Saccharomyces cerevisiae S288C: one gene and its partner. Changing the gene in region 1 together with any one later gene gives a genetic interaction. Each region holds a gene or a part of one and is shown on either strand. Other genes may lie near its edges. The genes, in order: HKR1 and PTP3.

What was found.
Region 2: mutations in HKR1 (region 1) and PTP3 are lethal when combined (synthetic lethality), as found in Saccharomyces cerevisiae (one study listed by BioGRID).

What each region holds. Positions count from the first base shown.
Region 1 is NC_001136.10:1,303,028-1,315,052, forward strand, and holds HKR1 (Hkr1p), read left to right. Parts: upstream 1-3,239; coding exon 3,240-8,648; downstream 8,649-12,025. Other genes in the region: RAD30 (DNA-directed DNA polymerase eta), read left to right, coding at 147-2,045; ARO80 (Aro80p), read left to right, coding at 9,013-11,865.
Region 2 is NC_001137.3:307,913-317,484, reverse strand, and holds PTP3 (tyrosine protein phosphatase PTP3), read left to right. Parts: upstream 1-6,285; coding exon 6,286-9,072; downstream 9,073-9,572. Other genes in the region: ICP55 (aminopeptidase), read left to right, coding at 1-678; MRX1 (Mrx1p), read left to right, coding at 885-2,951; YER076C (uncharacterized protein), read left to right, coding at 3,987-4,895; YOS1 (Yos1p), read right to left, coding at 9,362-9,417, 9,529-9,572. UniProt on the Saccharomyces cerevisiae protein: Major phosphatase responsible for tyrosine dephosphorylation of MAP kinases FUS3 and HOG1 to inactivate their activity; it also has important roles, along with MSG5, in the inactivation of FUS3 following pheromone stimulation.

The DNA of each region.
Region 1 (12,025 bases):
TTTTGGGCAATTCTTATAATTTCGGATTAACTAAAGTACCTATATAATTATACCTTATCGCGGCGAAAAAAGTATAAACCACTTATTGTAGTCTTCTAGCGCAGGCCTGCTCATTTTTGAACGGCTTTGATAAAACAAGACAAAGCATGTCAAAATTTACTTGGAAGGAGTTGATTCAGCTTGGTTCCCCCAGTAAAGCATACGAGTCCTCCTTAGCATGTATCGCCCACATAGATATGAATGCCTTTTTTGCACAGGTTGAGCAGATGCGATGTGGCTTAAGCAAAGAAGATCCGGTAGTCTGCGTTCAGTGGAATTCCATTATTGCAGTCTCTTATGCAGCAAGAAAGTATGGTATATCAAGGATGGATACGATTCAGGAAGCACTAAAAAAATGTAGTAACCTCATACCGATCCATACAGCCGTTTTTAAAAAGGGAGAAGATTTTTGGCAATATCATGATGGATGTGGATCTTGGGTGCAGGATCCTGCAAAGCAGATAAGTGTGGAAGATCATAAAGTATCACTGGAACCATATAGGAGGGAAAGTCGCAAGGCGCTGAAGATTTTCAAAAGCGCATGTGATCTAGTCGAAAGGGCGAGTATTGATGAAGTATTTCTTGATTTGGGCCGGATTTGTTTCAATATGCTAATGTTTGATAATGAGTACGAGCTTACAGGCGACTTGAAACTGAAAGATGCATTAAGCAATATTCGTGAGGCTTTTATAGGGGGCAACTATGATATAAATTCCCATCTACCTCTTATACCCGAAAAGATAAAGTCTCTGAAGTTTGAAGGCGATGTTTTCAATCCAGAGGGCAGAGATCTGATCACAGATTGGGACGATGTAATACTTGCACTAGGATCTCAGGTATGCAAGGGTATCAGAGATAGCATAAAAGATATTCTCGGTTATACTACTTCGTGTGGTTTGTCTAGCACCAAAAATGTTTGCAAGTTGGCTTCTAATTACAAAAAACCTGATGCCCAAACAATTGTGAAAAATGATTGTTTATTAGATTTTTTAGATTGCGGAAAGTTTGAAATTACATCATTCTGGACCTTAGGCGGCGTTCTTGGCAAAGAACTAATTGACGTATTGGATCTTCCCCACGAAAACAGTATTAAACACATCAGAGAGACGTGGCCTGATAATGCTGGCCAGCTTAAGGAATTTTTAGATGCTAAAGTTAAGCAATCTGATTATGATCGCTCAACCAGCAATATCGACCCTTTGAAAACAGCAGATTTAGCAGAAAAGTTGTTTAAATTAAGTAGAGGCCGGTACGGTCTGCCCTTAAGTTCTCGCCCTGTTGTAAAAAGTATGATGTCAAACAAAAATCTTAGAGGAAAATCGTGCAATTCCATCGTGGACTGTATTTCTTGGCTTGAGGTCTTCTGCGCTGAGCTTACGTCCAGGATTCAGGATCTGGAACAGGAGTATAACAAGATCGTAATACCAAGAACAGTATCTATATCTTTAAAAACAAAATCCTACGAAGTATATCGAAAATCAGGTCCAGTTGCGTACAAGGGCATCAATTTCCAGAGTCACGAACTCCTAAAAGTAGGCATAAAATTTGTCACGGACCTTGATATTAAAGGAAAGAACAAAAGTTATTACCCTTTAACAAAACTAAGTATGACAATTACTAATTTCGATATTATAGATTTACAAAAAACTGTTGTAGATATGTTTGGCAATCAGGTCCATACTTTCAAAAGCTCAGCAGGCAAGGAAGATGAGGAAAAAACTACCAGCTCGAAAGCTGACGAGAAAACTCCGAAGTTGGAATGTTGTAAATACCAGGTGACTTTTACAGACCAGAAGGCTCTTCAAGAGCACGCAGACTATCATTTAGCATTGAAACTGTCGGAAGGCTTAAATGGTGCTGAAGAATCATCCAAAAACCTTTCTTTCGGGGAAAAAAGATTGTTGTTTTCACGGAAAAGACCAAACTCACAACATACTGCCACACCTCAGAAGAAACAAGTTACATCTTCCAAAAACATCTTATCATTTTTTACAAGAAAAAAATGACCTATTCCAAATAGACAATTATATGGCTTCAGCAACTAAAACGTCCTGATAATATTGCTTTTCCAAAATTTCTAAATGATTCACGGGCGCCAGGTTTTGTTGATAAGAAGAACGAAGTACCTTTAATATCTTATGATCGGAAAATACCGACTGATGACTTTTGAGACTTCGCTTTTGATCAAAGTGATAACATTATGTACAATATTCATACTAGGATTTCTTGATAGAGATTTGGAAGTCTATAAAAAAGAAACAACTTGTTATAATTTATTTTTGTAGACATGACTCACAGAATATTACATACCTTCATAATATATAAGATCCATGTGATAATGAATGCTGGAAGCATGATCTCTGACCTCAGCTGATTGTTCAGGGGACTTAATCAATTAGATGCGTTTAAAGCAGGAATTGGTTTGATACACACAATCTCATGTTACAAAGTAACGCTGTTTAAAAACAAATCTGAAGAATAATAATGCAAGTAATATTATACATCATAAAAAAGTTATACACTATCATTACTCTTCTGAAGACCAGATTACAATACAAATTAAGGCAACTTGGCCGAGTGGTTAAGGCGAAAGATTAGAAATCTTTTGGGCTTTGGCCCGCGCAGGTTCGAGTCCTGCAGTTGTCGTTATTTTTAATGTTTTTATTTGGTAGCAACAAAATTTGTCAGTCAATTTCTTTTGTTTTTTTCTTTAAAAGGTGTAACAACGTTATCACTCAAGTATTCGTTTCTTATTATCAAAAGTCTTAGACTTTCTATTAATAGCAGTTTGTTCTTTTCCACAACGCGCTAAAGATATTTCGCTTTCTGACCCGTTTGGTTGCAGAAAATTTTTTTAACTAATTTAGGAATATTTAGATTAGTTAATTGGAGGGCTTATTCAAAGACAGTAGTTACAGCGATTTAAAAGCAGTGTCCCTCGTAGGCACCTGTAGTCATTTCATTCGTTTGGATATTTCGCTGTACTGCTTCCTGCATTGTAATCAAGAGAAAGTTTACAACTTAGAGCACTAACTTTGTTTGTAAACATTTTCCGTTTATAATCAATTGCCATATCATCAATTTTATTATCATTCTTTAACCAGTAACTAACTGATTCCGCACCCACATTATTGAAATTTTTGCGATATCTTTTTCCTCAACTGACGCAGTCAACAGTCAGAAACAGAGAATGTATAAAGATGGTCTCATTGAAAATAAAAAAAATTTTACTCCTGGTGTCATTGTTAAATGCAATCGAGGCCTATAGTAACGATACAATATATTCAACTTCATACAATAATGGAATAGAAAGCACACCCTCATATTCAACATCCGCGATATCCAGTACCGGATCTAGCAACAAAGAGAATGCAATAACATCAAGCTCTGAAACCACCACAATGGCTGGCCAATATGGTGAAAGTGGAAGCACAACAATAATGGATGAACAAGAAACTGGTACGTCCAGCCAGTATATTAGTGTGACGACGACAACGCAAACTTCTGACACGATGTCATCAGTAAAAAAGTCTACGGAAATAGCGACACCAAGTAGTAGCATTGTACCCACCCCTTTGCAGTCCTATAGCGATGAATCACAAATATCACAAACGCTTAGTCACAATCCGAAGTCCGTGGCGGAGTCAGATAGCGATACAACCTCCTCGGAATCCTCAAGTAGCGTAATAATATCCACATCCGATAGTTCAGCGGTACCGAGGGAAATAAGTCCAATAATAACCACAGATTCTCAAATTTCCAAAGAAGAAGGCACATTGGCTCAAACTTCCAGTATCAGTGAAACAACGAGAATTGCACAAATGGTAACCAGAGTTTCACAAATCTCCAGCATAACGGCAGCTTCAACAATAGATGGCTTTAGTAGTGAATCAACACAAACAGATTTTTCCAACACTGTATCGTTTGAAAATTCAGTCGAAGAAGAATATGCCATGAGCAAATCCCAGCTCTCTGAAAGTTACAGTTCAAGTTCAACCGTCTATTCTGGAGGGGAGTCGACTGCAGACAAGACATCTAGCTCCCCCATTACCAGCTTTTCATCTTCTTATAGCCAAACAACGTCAACTGAAACCTCTGAGAGCAGCCGAGTGGCTGTTGGAGTATCCCGGCCCTCTAGCATAACGCAAACTACATCAATTGATAGTTTTAGTATGAGTGAAGTAGAGCTTTCCACATATTATGACTTAAGTGCTGGCAACTATCCTGACCAAGAACTGATTGTCGATCGCCCGGCCACTTCTTCCACTGCCGAAACATCTTCAGAGGCAAGTCAAGGTGTAAGCCGTGAATCTAACACTTTCGCAGTATCTTCGATTTCCACGACAAACTTTATAGTTAGCAGTGCTTCGGATACTGTTGTTTCAACTTCAAGCACCAATACAGTGCCATACAGCTCTGTCCATTCAACCTTTGTTCATGCGACTTCCTCGTCGACTTATATTTCTTCTTCCCTTTATTCTTCCCCATCCTTATCTGCATCCGTTTCCTCTCACTTTGGCGTTGCTCCTTTTCCATCTGCTTACATATCTTTCTCATCAGTACCCGTTGCAGTATCCTCGACGTACACGTCTTCACCATCGGCTTCTGTTGTAGTACCTTCTGCCTATGCGTCTTCACCATCAGTACCCGTTGCAGTATCCTCGACGTACACGTCTTCACCATCAGCACCTGCTGCAATATCCTCAACGTACACGTCTTCACCATCGGCACCTGTTGCAGTATCCTCGACGTACACGTCTTCACCATCGGCACCTGCTGCAATATCCTCAACGTACACGTCTTCACCATCGGCACCTGTTGCAGTATCCTCGACGTACACGTCTTCACCATCAGCACCTGCTGCAATATCCTCAACGTACACGTCTTCACCATCGGCACCTGTTGCAGTATCCTCGACGTACACGTCTTCACCATCAGCACCTGTTGCAATATCCTCAACGTACACGTCTTCACCATCGGTACCTGTTGCAGTATCCTCGACGTACACGTCTTCACCATCAGCACCTGCTGCAATATCCTCAACGTACACGTCTTCACCATCGGCACCCGTTGCAGTATCCTCGACGTACACGTCTTCACCATCAGCACCTGCTGCAATATCCTCAACGTACACGTCTTCACCATCAGTACCCGTTGCAGTATCCTCGACGTACACGTCTTCACCATCAGCACCTGCTGCAATATCCTCAACGTACACGTCTTCACCATCAGTACCCGTTGCAGTATCCTCGACGTACACGTCTTCACCATCAGCACCTGCTGCAATATCCTCAACGTACACGTCTTCACCATCGGCACCCGTTGCAGTATCCTCGACGTACACGTCTTCACCATCAGCACCTGCTGCAATATCCTCAACGTACACGTCTTCACCATCGGCACCCGTTGCAGTATCCTCGACGTACACGTCTTCACCATCAGCACCTGCTGCAATATCCTCAACGTACACGTCTTCACCATCGGCACCTGTTGCAGTATCCTCGACGTACACGTCTTCACCATCGGCTCTTGTTGTCCTGTCATCTACTTCCACATCCTCTCCATATGATATTGTTTACTCTCCATCAACTTTTGCTGCCATATCATCCGGTTACACGCCTTCACCTTCTGCTTCTGTCGCCATGTCATCTACTTCCTCATCCTCTCCATATGATATTGTTTACTCTCTATCATCTTCTGCTTCCAGATCGTCCATTGCTACATATGAATTTTCACCTTCCCCATCTACTTCTTTACCCACCTCTTCTACTTACACATACTTTTCATCTGCTTATGCGTTTGAATTTTCTTCTGAGCGGTACTCAACAACATCCACAATAGCACCAACTCAAATACATAGCACATTGTCCAGGATTACGGATTTCTTACTGCAGACTTCGATGGCAATCCAAAGTATAGTCTCTCAGCAAATTTCTACAAGCTCAACTTTAAATGACGAAATACATTCAAGCGCGCTTTCCGTTTTCAACCCTTCAGCTTCGAATTTGGTTGAAACTTCTCTGATAATTTCATCGACCCAAGCAAGCATAACAAGCCCCAAAAACTCAGCTAAAATTAGTTCACTACAGAGCCAGCTGTCTAGCAGTACAAAAAATCCATACGATACGGCGAACAAGAATACTGAGACCAGTGGCAGATCCACAGTTGTTTCGAATTTCCTATACACATCTTCCGCGGCGAAACCAGACAATGAAAAGTTTTCCGCTACTCCTACAGAGATAACTACAATTTCAAGTAGCTCGCACGCATATTCTTTATCTATTCCAAGTTCTCATAATTCTGTGACTGGACTATCACATAACTTTGTCGATTCGTCAAAAAGTGCAACCTCATTTGGCTACTCATCCTCATCAATATCTTCAATAAAACTTTCAAAAGAAACAATACCTGCAAGTAAATCTGTTTCAAACACACAAGAAAGAATCACAAGCTTTACATCAACATTACGAGCAAATAGTCAGTCTGAAAAATCCGAAGGGAGGAATTCTGTAGGTTCTTTACAAAGTTCACATATTTCATCTAACCCATCGCTCTCCACAAATACAAAGGTTGATTCGAAAAGTTTATCCAGGAAAGTATCGAAAACCATGGGCGAAAATGGCGAGGAAACCGGCTTAACCACAACAAAGACGCAATACAAAAGTTCTTCTGAAACCAGTGGGTCATATTCTCGGTCTTTTACAAAAATCTCAATTGGACCTGCTACGACTGCAGTTCAAACTCAGGCAAGCACTAATTCAGTATTCACAGCCCCTGCCTTGTCTACCTATCCTACTACTCCGTACCCCTCTCCAAATAGTTACGCATGGTTACCTACCGCTATTATAGTGGAATCATCCGAAACGGGCCCCACTACCGCATCATTCAATCCGTCAATCACTGGTTCACTTCCCAATGCAATTGAACCGGCCGTCGCTGTATCGGAACCCATTAACCACACTTTAATTACCATCGGATTCACGGCCGCTTTGAATTATGTATTTTTGGTTCAAAATCCATTATCTTCGGCTCAAATCTTCAACTTTTTACCTCTCGTTTTGAAGTATCCCTTTTCAAACACCTCATCAGAACTGGACAATAGTATTGGGGAATTATCCACTTTTATTCTTTCATACCGGTCTGGGAGCAGCACAACTACCCTTTCCCCAAAATCCATATCATCATTATCAGTTGTCAAGAAAAAAAAAAACCAGCAGAAAAAAAATGCCACGAAGTCAACCGAGGACTTACATCCTCCACAAGTCGACACATCCTCAATAGCGGTGAAAAAGATTGTTCCCATGGTAGACTCTTCTAAGGCATACATTGTATCAGTTGCAGAGGTATATTTTCCAACAGAAGCCGTAACATATCTTCAGCAATTAATCCTTGATGAAAATTCGACTCTTTATAGCAATCCTCAAACCCCACTGCGAAGTTTAGCTGGTCTAATAGATAGTGGGATCCCATTAGGGGGATTGACGTTATATGGCTCTGGAGATGGTGGTTATGTCCCTAGTTTAACCTCATCAAGCGTCTTGGATTCTTCAAAAGGAAATTCCCAAAACATAGATGGAACTTACAAGTATGGAGCTTTGGATGACTTTATCAATTCATTCACAGATTCTGCATCTGCAGGAAAGTATGCTGTAAAAATAATCATCTTTTTGATTGTTTTAACTATTGGCGTACTCTTGTGGTTATTCGTTGCATTTTTTGCTTTCCGTCATAGAAATATATTATTGAAAAGACACCCAAGGAACTGCATAGGGAAAAGCCTCAATAATGAGAGGGAACTTGAAAGTACCGAGCTTTCCCGCTCTTCTTCTGGAAACCAAGTTTATAATGAAAAGCCGCCAGAATCTGAAAATGAAAGTGTTTACTCTGCGGTAGATGATCATTATATTGTGACTGGCGAAAACACAGTCTATAATACTATTCACAGATTACATTATACCATTAATGATGACGGTGATCTATTGTACAGGGACGCAATCCCCCTCGATTTTGATCAAACCAATGGGGATGATGGTTCGGGAATAGACAGTATAGTAAGAGACTGCGTGTATGACAAAAACCAAGATGCTACGGAAGCCTTCTTGAATGATGAGGAGTCCATATCAGGCATTCTAGATGTTGATGAAAATGGTGATATTCGATTATACGACAGTTATTCTGACAATGAAGAGTCAAACAGTTTTCACTTGCCAGACGAAGTTATTGAAAACTATAACAAGAACCATTTGTGCGAAACTAAACTTCATGGACTAGGCACTGAATCATGTACTACAGATGATCCCGATACTGGAAATCAAATTACGAATGAGTTTTCTACAGGGAGTCAGACATGTTTGCCAAGTACCGCTTATACCACACCCCTTCATACAAATTCGATTAAACTTCACACATTACGCTACACAGAATCTTCACTACCAAAGCCAAATCAGACTCTTTTCTCTAATCTTGAAGATTTAGAAATAGAGGATATTGACGACAATGGTAGTGTTTCAGATGTACATATCGAGGAGCTGGATGCTTTAGACGAAGAACTTTATAAGAGAATGTCGAAAGTTATAAAACAACAGAACCATCAAACGACAAAAATATAGCGAAAAATGATTATTGACTGTGCAATAAACGCTGCTGGAAGGGGCGCTTGCAACAAAAGATGATCACAAAAATTGATACCCATTAATACACATAGGCTCACGCCATTACTATTATTATATATATCATCAAGTATTGCATTTGTAATTTTATGAGTCCTTCTTAGTAATACATGAAGGCTTTTTTTTAATATTTTCGGAATCAACGAGAGTACACTATTCTATCCGATGATAACCGAGATAAATGAAGATAGTAACTAACCAATGAAAAAAGAGCGAGAATAAATTAAAGCAATAATATCAAGTTAGTCGTGGGAATATATGATCCACGCATAATAAGGTTACATTAAGCACTGCTTTATCCTCTATGTCTGCTAAGAAAAGGCCTTCGGGAAACGCAGCATTTGAACTTCCAAAACGGAGAAGAACCTACCAAGCTTGCATCAGCTGCAGATCAAGGAAGGTGAAATGTGATCTTGGTCCGGTTGATAACCCACACGACCCACCGTGTGCACGTTGCAAAAGGGAGCTAAAAAAATGTATTTTTAGCTCTAATAAGGGAACTTCGAACGACTTGCCTCCTAATTCGATTAATGCAATAAGTCTGCCATCTCTAGGTAAGAGTAAGCAAGAGATACAAAATGACTCAACGAGCCCAATTTTATCGGATGTACCTTTGTCAAGAAAAGGGATTAGCAGTGAAAAATCATTTAAATCAGAAGGGATGAAGTGGAAGCTTGAACTTTCCTCCATGCAGAACGCCCTAGAGTTTCTGGCCCAAGCTGCTGGAACTGTAGCAAAAGAAGGCGCAAAAGAAATCATAAAAGAGAAGTCCACAACACCGAAACCACTGAAAAGTTCTTTGGATGCGACAAATAAATCTGCTACGGACGAGGGGTTGAAACGACTTTCAAAAAGTGACAGTACTAACACACTTTACGAAAATACAGCAGATATGCTTAACCACACGCTGAATACGAATAGGAAAACATCACAATTAATGGAAGAAATCGGGAAAGTGAGACCTCCACCTACCCGGAAAATTGACGACTTCGATTACATCGGTCCAGATAGCTTGCTTACTAAAGAGGAGGCGATTGAACTCATAGAGGCATTTTTTCTCACGATGCACCCATTCTTTCCCAATATCCCACTTCAATTGCATGATCCGAAAGAATTAGCAGAATATCCAATTTTGTTTTGTGCAATTTTGACTGTTTCTGCTCGCTATCATCCTTTCGATACTTTAGGATTAGACAATGGAGAAGATGGGATGAGACACATTGAAGTTCACGATAAATTATGGGTGTATTGCCAGAAGCTTATATCTCAAACAATTTGGGCAGAGGCTAGTACTAGGTCAATTGGCACCGTGCTTGCTTTCATAATTTTCACGGAATGGAACCCAAGGAGTATCCACTATAAATGGTCTGACTATGCAAATGATCCTGAGTTAAATAATGTCAACGCTAGAGGAAGTAAGAATATTAGTACGAGGAAGGACGAAGAAGGATTGACCGGTGTCGGCGCAATCCGTAGAAGCGACCGAATGTCATGGATGCTGACAGGGTCTGCAGTAAGGCTGGCGCAAGATATGGGATTCATTGAAAACAGCTCAAAAGTATTCATTGTCACTCATATATCTGAGACTACCAGTGCTATGAATATGAATCAAAGATCCTTATTAGCAGAATCATTCAGCGTTTTAAACTTGAATTTAGGAAAAATTGAAAACGATGGAAATGAAAGCAATGAGGATTACCTTGGGAATGAAAAATTTTATCTGAATGAGATTTTGCCTGATGAAGAAAGTAAACTAAGGTGGAAGAGAGTTTTTGAAAACTCAGAAAATGACCACGACAACGAGAAAAATTTTTTGACTGATTGGGAGAGGGAGTTTTTAAACGATGAGTATGTTCTATATTATTCTAATAAAAAAGATGATACTAATCTAGCACAGAATCACATACCACCATTTCCACTAAGATTCTCATTCGCCCAAAGAGCAAAAATAGAGATCATTCGAATCCTATCCATAGCATATGAGACGATTTACTGTGAGAAGAATAAGAGGAAATTGGCAACGACAGATCAGAGACACAACCTCTCTGTCCTAAGTGTTTTTTCTCCCTTGATAGAGGGCTGGCTCAGTAACTACAGAGAGCTTCTTGTACCCCTTTCTGATGTCCCTTTCTCACTAGCAGATAGGAAGAACAAAAAACAAATATTTGATAACATCGATAGAATAAATGGTGAAAGTATTATCACAGATTTCAATTATTGTCAACTTTATATCTTTTCCCTCGCACTGCAAGTGGATGGGAAAACAAGCAGATTGAATATGAATGAAATTGTGACAAGCGCGAGGTATGTGGAATTAGCATACAGATCTGCAAAAGAAATATTGAGTTCTGCAAAGCGAGTTTCAAGGCAAGGAATGCTAAAATACATGCCCGTAAGATGGGTAATACGAATAATTAGATCCATTGCGTTCATAGTAAAATGCTACCTAACACTTACTGGTAGTGAACTGGCAACAAATCCAGATGCCAGAAACATTTTAAAATTAAGTGCAATATCGGTTGACGAAACATTCGATATCATCCGTGACACTGCGGTTACTTTGAAAGAAGCTACACCAGATGAATTACATCTATGTCAAAGATACGCAGCCATATTAATGTACTTATGTACAGAGATGAAACTTCGAAAAAAATCTTACTTAGAACGACCACCCTTATTAAGAGATGGCACCACTCCTCTAGAGAGCAATCGCGAATCCTCACTGGAGGGACAAGACTTAACTAAGAAGCCAATATTCTCTAAACGTATTGGATATAATAAAACCGAGACTACTTTTGAACCCTCGGAAAGGCCTTTGACGGAGGAAATTAATAGCAATTCTCAGAATTCAAATGATACATCTTCTAAAGGTATCGTTGATCCTTTTGTTGAACAAAACAACGATATCACAACAGCGTTACTGAACAATGAACTCTTCCAAGGTCCATCTCTATCTGACGAGGTTACAGATTGGTTCGGTGCTAGTGAAGATATCGGGCTTGAATTTGTAGAACCATGGACAGAACTTATTGAGCAACGATATATGCAATGTGGAGATGGTGATAATAATAATTTCGAAAATTTATACAACTTGTTCGTGAATAGTAATAACATCAATAATGATATTAATAACTCAAGGCCAATAACGCGTAAATAAGTAGATATCAAAGAATTACGTCATCAACCAAGACAACCGCACTATTCGTAAAAATGATTTTAAATACAAAGACAGAATAACAGGGGAAGATGGAGGTATATAATAATGCGAATGCTTCATAATACTATGACTGGTTTTCCATTGGGCATATGAGATGATT
Region 2 (9,572 bases), on another chromosome or scaffold:
ATATCCGGTGGTTGCGATAAGGACGCATATATCCCCGTGGTCGCTACTGGTTCGAATTCTTTGTGTATCCATTACACAAGAAACGATGATGTGATGTTTGACGACGAAATGGTTCTTGTAGACGCTGCTGGCTCCTTGGGTGGTTATTGTGCTGATATTTCGAGAACGTGGCCCAATAGTGGGAAATTCACTGATGCACAAAGAGATCTCTACGAAGCTGTATTAAATGTTCAGCGTGATTGCATTAAGTTATGTAAAGCTAGCAATAACTATTCCCTCCACGACATCCATGAAAAGAGTATCACACTCATGAAACAGGAATTGAAAAACTTGGGCATAGATAAAGTCTCCGGTTGGAATGTTGAAAAATTGTATCCGCACTATATTGGACACAATTTAGGTCTAGATGTTCACGATGTGCCTAAAGTTTCCAGGTACGAACCATTAAAGGTTGGACAAGTTATTACTATTGAACCGGGTTTATATATTCCTAACGAGGAATCATTTCCATCTTACTTTAGAAACGTCGGAATAAGAATTGAAGATGACATAGCCATTGGTGAAGATACTTACACTAATTTAACTGTTGAAGCAGTGAAAGAAATTGACGATTTAGAAAATGTCATGCAAAATGGCTTATCTACAAAATTCGAGGAGGACCAAGTGGCACCACTGTAATGTTATTGCTAAATTGAGTACACCCTGTATATACAGATACATAACTTATCGATTTAAGGTCTTTTAATATTAAACGGAAAATTCAAAAAAAAAAAAATTTACTGAAAATATCTTGAGATACTTTTCTTCAGCTTTCTTTTTGTTTTTTTCCTCTTCTTCTTGGGCACTGCTCTTTAGTTTTTATTTTTAGTTACGGCAAAATAAAGATGGGTCTAAAAATTACAAAAGGACAGCTGAGAACCAAGGATCTGAATCAATCATCCTCAAAGTCATCGCAGTCTTCAAGAATAGGTGTAGACACTTGTATATTTACTAGAATGCTACCCCGAATAAACACTGCAATTAATCTCACAGAGCATCTGCTGAGAAGATCTTTTCATTCACTGACAAATCTACAGAAAACTCAAGTAAAAGAAAGACTACATGAGCTAGAACGTCACGGTTTCATATTAAATAAAACATCCAAACAATTGGAAAGGATAAATTCTAAGAAAAGAAGACAATTGAAAAAACTGCAAAAGACAGCATACCCCAAGGATCAAGCTTTTCATATTCTTCGAAAATTTCATAAAATAAATAATGAGGCATTAGCAGATACAAAACTGGGGCCAACTAGCCAAAGCGACTTGAAGTTCCTATCCTTAACCAAAGATAAGAGACTCTTTTATACCATACTAGGCGTCAATGGAGAACAGTTACGTGATTCCAAATTAATCGCCAATGATGTTCAAAAATTTTTGAAAAGAGGACAACTGGAAAAAGCTGTCTTTTTGGCTAGGCTAGCTAAAAAGAAAGGCGTCGTTGGGATGAATTTGATTATGAAATATTATATCGAAGTTGTGCAGTCCCAACAAAGTGCTGTAGATATCTTCAATTGGCGAAAAAAATGGGGAGTCCCTATTGATCAACATTCCATCACAATCCTCTTTAATGGGCTCTCAAAACAAGAAAATTTGGTCTCAAAAAAATACGGAGAACTTGTTTTGAAGACTATAGATAGTTTGTGTGACAAAAATGAGCTCACGGAAATAGAATATAATACCGCTTTGGCGGCACTGATAAATTGTACCGATGAAACACTAGTGTTCAAACTTCTTAATAAAAAGTGCCCAGGTTTGAAAAAGGATAGTATTACATATACCTTAATGATAAGATCTTGTACCAGGATTGCCGATGAGAAACGTTTTATGGTGGTACTCAATGATTTGATGAATAAAATACCAGACTATTGTGTCGATTCTAAATTGTTATTTGAGTACTGTGAAGTAATATGTAGCCAGAAGTCACCAAAGATTGAGAAGCAAGGAATGGGACTATGGGCCCTCTGTGAATATTTTCAATTTGATAAGACCATTTTCAAGAAGTATTTGACACAAAGCGATTTTCCTACGTTAGTTCCACTAAGTCATTGGAACATCAATAAGCCATTTCCTCTCAACAAACATGTTGTGGGATTGTTTATGAATTACTGTTTGAAAAACAAGGAATATGATCTTGCTATGGAAATATTTAAGACATTAGAGGCACAGAACAACCAAATGTTAGATCAGAGCATATACCACAAATACATGGAAACTGTCATAACAACGAGGCCCATCACTTGCGGCGACGAGTGTCTGGACATTTATGAACGGGTAGCCTCGTCGGCACAAATCTCAATAACCAGGAGGACGTTAATTTTGGTGTACAACGCATTCCAAAGACAAAGTCTCAAGGCCGTTATAAACAAAGATGCATCAAATGCTGAAGCTACTTTGCACAAGATTCGGGGGTTTATAGATAGCGTAGAGGCCACATACTCATCAAAGTTGAACGGCAAAGTTTACAGGTTTAATTCATGGAAGTTCCTGTTTCCTATCGTTAAAAATCTGAACATGAATGATAAAGTGTCTACAGTGGAACTGAAAAGTATACTAGATGAATACTTGAAATCTTTATTGAATGGTGAGTTCGGGAAGGAATTTAAAGCGAGCATAGAAGACAAGCGGTTTGTTACGTTGGAGGGAATTCGTTTAGTCAAGGTTTTAACCGAGAGAATCAAGCTTCCGTCACTGGACAGTGAGGAAATAGCCAGTTTAAAAGGCACGGAAAGAAAGAAGTTTCTTGCCAGAAGGCACCTTTTGAGGCTGAAGCAAATATTACTGGAAGATTTAGCGGACATTGAAGGCAACTCAAGAAGGAAGGGTGATAGCGAAAATACAAGTACCAGTGAAGAGCGCATCATGGAGGACTTGGCCGAGCTGATACTTGAAACCAGCTATGACAAGTTTTAAGTAAAAATTGATTATTTACTCCTTTCAATATGTACATAGTTTTGAGGTTTTTTCAAATTTTTTTCCTATTTTTTTTGTTAATTGAAAGTTACTGATGATAAATTATTCAAAGGTGGTGTTAATTAAGAATGAAAGTACATCTTCCTATACTATGAAGGAGAGGTTCATATAACACGCGCAATTGGCACGTCTTAAGTATCATCAGTACAATATAGTGGTATGTCAGGTAAATATAACATGTTCAGTGTAACAACTCATATTTTCCACGTATATATTGGATCTGTAACTCAATTGCGTCATTGTCTACATATTGCTTTTAACAGTTTCATTATTCTGTTACTGTTGCAATTATATATAAGCGTATAAGAGATGTGCCTAAGTATACGATGAGAACGCACATAATGTTATTATATCAACTCGCCTGTATATTTTTGTACTACTTGTTCCAACACGAAAATAAACCAAAGTAAGAAGGGTTAGCACCTTTTTTTGCAAGAGAAATCGCTCTTCAACTATTTTAAGTCAATCCTATGAAAAAGGGTTTGCGCCAGATTTCCAGGGACAAAAAAGAAAGTTTTATGTAAGACTAGATTGTGTTGATATCTCGAGCAAACTGTTAACCATTTTAAACCAATATAGTAATAAGTGTGAATAATCGTTCATCTCTAAACAATATGTAAATAATTCTAAAGAACAAAATATTTTGTCATTATCATCAACCTGTGAGCACTGAAAAAAAATTAATTCTAAAATGGTGCTCCATTTGCAAATATTCTTTCTATTTCCCTGACTCCCGCTAATCGGTTTTATTAGTGAAGAATACAGCCGTGGATTGAAAAACAAACTGGTTCAAGTCATTAACTGAAGTAATGCGACCACATCTTATACAAGAGGCAATGCTTTCTAACAGTTTTACATTATTCAAAATCTTCACATAGCCGTAACTTAACTTATATAATAACCGCATATTGGGCTCTTCTGAAAGAACTATTATAAGAAAGATACAAAAGCAAGCAATCAATCCAAGGGAGAAAAATGACCTCAGGATACTATACCGTCTCATTTTTTTATGCGATCTTATTGTTATGCGCATGCACACGTGCTGAGATCTACCTGACGGGCGGTGAAAGCCAGGGCTTGCCATCAGGATTCTGGCAAATGGACGATGATTTGGCAATCGCTCCAGTTTCTATGGTTGAATTTTACCAGACGATAGGATTAACTGCAAATGGTACTGTACCTGAGTCCTTCAACAAGCGTGATGCTACTGAATACCCTAACATTATCAGTAATATAACTACCCAAGCAGCCAACTTCACTCAGCATAGTCTCGTCGAGCAACTTCAAAATGACGTCACGGCAATAAGTATCAGTAATGCCATTAATGTAGCCGTCGATGGTTCTGTGGAAACACCAGCAGACCTGCAATACAACCGCAACCAGGAAACAGGTGAATCTACCCTCTGTAGAGCCAAGTTTTACGGAGTGGAGGTAAGAACTTGGTCTAGGTTGTACAATAGGGCCGTCTCTTCCACAACTCTTACGACTAATTTGAACAGCTACATAGCGCAATGGGTAGCATGGGCCGTTCACGGGAGCGGTGACAAGAAGTTTTGCGGCAGCCAGGAGTTCACGAATATCTTTTTTGATGGGCAAGAGGGTTGGAGTTTGTTTGTCAAGACGTGGTCAACAAACAGTAGCTGTGATATTACAGCCTCTGAAGGAAATTTAACATGTGCAGTTCGTGTTTCAGTATCCAGTATGCACAATCACGGCAAGACAGCGTTTTGTGTTACCTATAGCCACGGTGATTCTTGGCGTGCCGAGCTGAGAGTAGTTGCCAATGATGCTTGGTCCCATTATTATCCCTGGAGTATTGACTGTCCAGAAGTTGATAAAAATAATATGGCTATTAATGATTGTTTTGATCAGGCGCAAGGTTAACGATTGAGTTTCCCATAATTTTTACCGCTCTCCTCTTGGTTGAGACGTATGCGAAAAGCTAATTCGACGTTTTTTATTGTAAAATCGTACACTTTTGCAGGCAATTCTACATATTATATAAGATTTAAGTCGGATCTTGAGACTTTTGGTGAACTTTGAGATGATTGTTGGGATTCCGTTGTTGATAAAGGCAATAATATTATGTATACAGAATATACTAGAAGTTCTCCTCGAGGATATTAGAATCCTTACAATGGACTTGATATTTCTACATAAAAATATTACGATTATTCCTCATTCTGTTTTTTATGTTTCACCATCCAACAGATCTAAACTCATTTCTTCAGGTATTTATAACTTTGATTGGTTCATCTTAGGCATACTCAATCTTACCTTTTTCATGCGTGTAGGAACGAAACTCTAAAATCATCTACGGGTTAAAATTGCTTATACGGAGGTACCCCGTGTTGAGATCCAACACATACAGAAATTCTGGGCACATGGCGCAGTTGGTAGCGCGCTTCCCTTGCAAGGAAGAGGTCATCGGTTCGATTCCGGTTGCGTCCAATGAAATCTTTTTGTACCAAGTTTTTCTCTGTTTTTGTTAGACCGCAAGCGAGTTTACCGAATCACAGCCCACCTCACCCCACAGGAAAACAGCAGCAGAACGGCTGCTAAATGACTATTAACAATAAGAGGTTTTCGGCTACTTTCGCTGCTTGCTCGTTAAATCCGTTCACTGGTAGCGAACCTCAACGACAGATGTCTATGTATGCTATACGTAAAATCACCCCCATTATGGCCATTTTATGTGTCGCCACTGCTACACACCCACCGATGTGTATGTACTTCTAATATCTAACCAGACCAGACCCCACGCTTTTTCTGGCATCTCCTGCTGCCATCTTGGTGTAGTGAGCGGAAACTTTAAACATTAAACAGAATGGCGGCGACTTTGAGATTTGGGCCCGCTGACGCTGAACGAAAAGAAAAGACCTTCATGAAAAAAATATTTTGCGGCAAAACGTCATCGGAGAACACAGCGCAGCGAGAATGTGGTGTTAGCCAGACCCAACAGTTTGCGCACCTGGCATGGATGGATGCAGATAGGTAGTGTTCGATGCGCAAGAGTCCAATCTTCTCCTCGCCATTTGCACCGGCGGATGTAACACTATATTTTCATTGACCTTAGCGGTTTTCTTTCTTTGACATGTAACATCATCACTTCAAGCACAAACAAAGAACTGTATACACAGACCACAAACTTGCATATTATTCTAACATCGGTGTTATAATAGCGTAGGTGCTCTTATCACTGCAAAGTTCATAGAAAATCCGTATTGTATCTCCCTTCTCCATCAGCAACACAGATCTACTTATCATATAGAACATGAAGGACAGTGTAGACTGCCCAAGCATTCTACCCACCGACCGCACTTCAGTGCTTTCCGAGACTAGCACTTTGGTCGGATCGAGTTCGCATGTATATTCGAGGCATGCTCCTATGAACAGTTATCATAACAGCATGAACAGCAACATATACCACAGCCCCAAAGCCAGTAGCCCTTTGGTGAGCTATAAGACATCTTCGCCGGTGTTATTGAAGAGGGCGACCGCTCCTGTCCTGCCAAGCTTCAAGCCCAAGGAACAGCGATATAATAAGCCGCAGGGTTGTTCGCTAATTACTGCTGTAGAACTGGGCAAGATTATTGAAACCTTACCAGATGAAAAGGTGCTCTTACTTGATGTTAGGCCGTTTACCGAACATGCCAAATCCATTATCACAAACTCCATTCATGTATGTTTGCCTTCCACGCTGCTGAGGAGGAAAAATTTCACCTTTTCCAAACTCTTGGACAACTTAACTCCTAGCGAGCAAAGCGTGTTGAAATCTAAACTGGCCATCGATAACCTTCGGATTATCATTTATGATAGCACCGCAAATCAAACGGAAAGTTCTGTTTCTTTACCTTGTTATGGAATAGCGTCCAAGCTAATAGAGTTTGATACTAATGTTAAAAAAACCGTGTCTATACTAATGTGTGGTTTTCCTCAATTCAAAATTCTATTTCCAGACCATATAAACACCAACACATTTAACTCAGATTGCATTAGTTCGGCTGAACCTAAAAGCCCCAAGACAAACCTTATGAACAGTCTACACAACACAGCGCCGCATATGACGGCGACAACACCACTATCGTCTCCGCAAATGAACCTTAAGTTGAAAGTTCCTGACGATAGTAGGTCAGATCATTCAAACTTTTCCAGTTCTCCCTCTCCGCGTAACGTCCTATCAGATTCTCCCATGTCTTCTTCTTCCCCCATATCTGCCTTATTTAAGTTCCAGCTGCCTGCACCACAAACAAACATAAACCAAATGTTCAAATTTTCGCAAAATGAAGAAATAATGGGTTTAGAGACGTATTTGAGTGCAGTCAACATCAAAGAAGAACATGAAAGATGGTATAATAACGATTCTGCCAAAAAATCTTTACAAAACTTCCAATTCCCAAAGAACCAAAATTCTCTAGAAAAGGACACTAATAAAGACAAACTAGGGTTTCAGATCAGATACGAAAACCTGAGCAAAAATTACGAAAAGGAGGTCATTGACTCCGTTATACCTGAATGGTTCCAGCATCTGATGTCAATACCCAAGATCGAGTTGGTTTCTCAGTTTCAAAAATTAGATTTTTTGGAAAAAAGGCGCTTGAACCATTCTGTCTCTTTCAGGAAGAAGGAAAACTCGTTTATACTTGAAAAGCCATCATCATATCCTGAACAGTTAACATCAACTTCTTCTTCAACAATCATGCCTCCAAAATTTCCTGACGTGAACAAAGTACAAAAGAGGTCGCATTCTCAGCCAATCTTCACTCAATACAGTAAATATAAATCGATGCTCAGCCTTGAATCAGATTCCGATTCGGAGTCAGATGACGTTATAATATCATCAGGCGTTGAATTAGGAGCCAAGAACAGGTACAAGGATATTTTTCCCTACGAGCATTCGAGAGTGATTCTAAAAAAAGGTTTGCAATCATCAAAAGGTATCAAGCATTCACATTCTACTTCCGATGGTGGCATCCTCGACAATTATATCAACGCAAACTATTTGTCTCTGCCAAGGTTTTCTGTAGAGCAAAATTCGTCATTTCAAACAACTACAACCACAACAAGAAGAGTGCGCTATATAGCGACGCAAGCTCCAATGCCCTCCACTGTACATGACTTTTATACATGCATATTGAATAATGGCGTTCCGTTGGTTCTCTCATTGACAAATGATTTCGAAAATGGCATTGAGAAATGTTATCGATATTGGCAAGAAGGTAATTATAACGGTATTCACGTTAAATTGTTAGAAAAAAAAATATTAAAGATGCCTAGCACTACTAGCATGAGGAAAAATACTATGGGAACACAAAATAGTAGTTTATATTCAGCTGGTGTTCAGGGAAATAGTAGTAACTATAGTACTGATAATGATAATGATAATGACAACAATAATAATAACAATAACAATAGTAATATTGCTGTTACTGCTGCTGCTTGTGATGATGATGATGATGATGATGATGACGCAATTCTCATAAGAAAAATTCTGCTAACATATCATGATCAAGAGAAACCTTATGAATTGTTACAGATTCAGGTGAAAAATTGGCCTGATTTGGGCACTTTACTCAATCCTATCTCAATCTTACAAGCAATCAATGTCAAGAATCACATAATAGATACACTATTTGCCAGAAATTACTATCAAAACGACCAACTTCCTACCATTTTGGTTCATTGTTCCGCAGGTTGTGGAAGGACTGGTACTTTGTGTACCATTGATTCCATTCTATCCAATTTCGAAATGTTTGAAATGTTGCAGAAAGAGTTTGTTAAATTAAAATACCCGGCAAAGTTATTCGATCCAATTTCATGGACAATTAATATTTTTAGAAAGCAACGAATATCCATGGTCCAGAACATTAATCAATTTATTTTCATTTATGACTGCTTGCTATTTTACTTTAGATTACGTCTTGATGACATAACAGAGAGAACGGATGGTGATGGAAGTAACAAGGACAATATATCATTAAGTGCATTAATTGAACAAATCGAAAAATTAGAGATCTTGCAGACATTCGTGGATGATAAGTTGAAAGAATTGCCACAATAGTTAGGCTAATATGAATGTATTTGATCTCTATTTTATTAATACGAAACCCCTTAATAATTGATATTTTCGATACATATTTGGCAGTAGTTAGCTACGTAACAGAGTATTATTTTCATTTCAAGTTATGCATGAACTCTCTAATTTCACATACCATGCTACCACTACCCTTGGAGGTTTTGTTCATATCTTTTATAATAAAGCTAAAACCGAAAAGGTGAAGGGAAAAAAAAACTATTAGAGCCTGTTTCTTGTATATAGTAGTATGTAATATTTGCTTCGTACGCTTAGTTCATCCCAATAGTAATTCATAAACAATCACCAGTATATTTATTCCAATTAATGGTACTACAAGAATAATATACGAAACGTTAGTAAAATTTTCTCACAAAAGGTGAAAAAGAACGGGAAAAAACTGATGAAATGTAACTTTAACCGTTCTCCATCAACATAACATACTCCTCAGTAATGTCTGTACGGCGCCAATCAATTGAACAACCTTG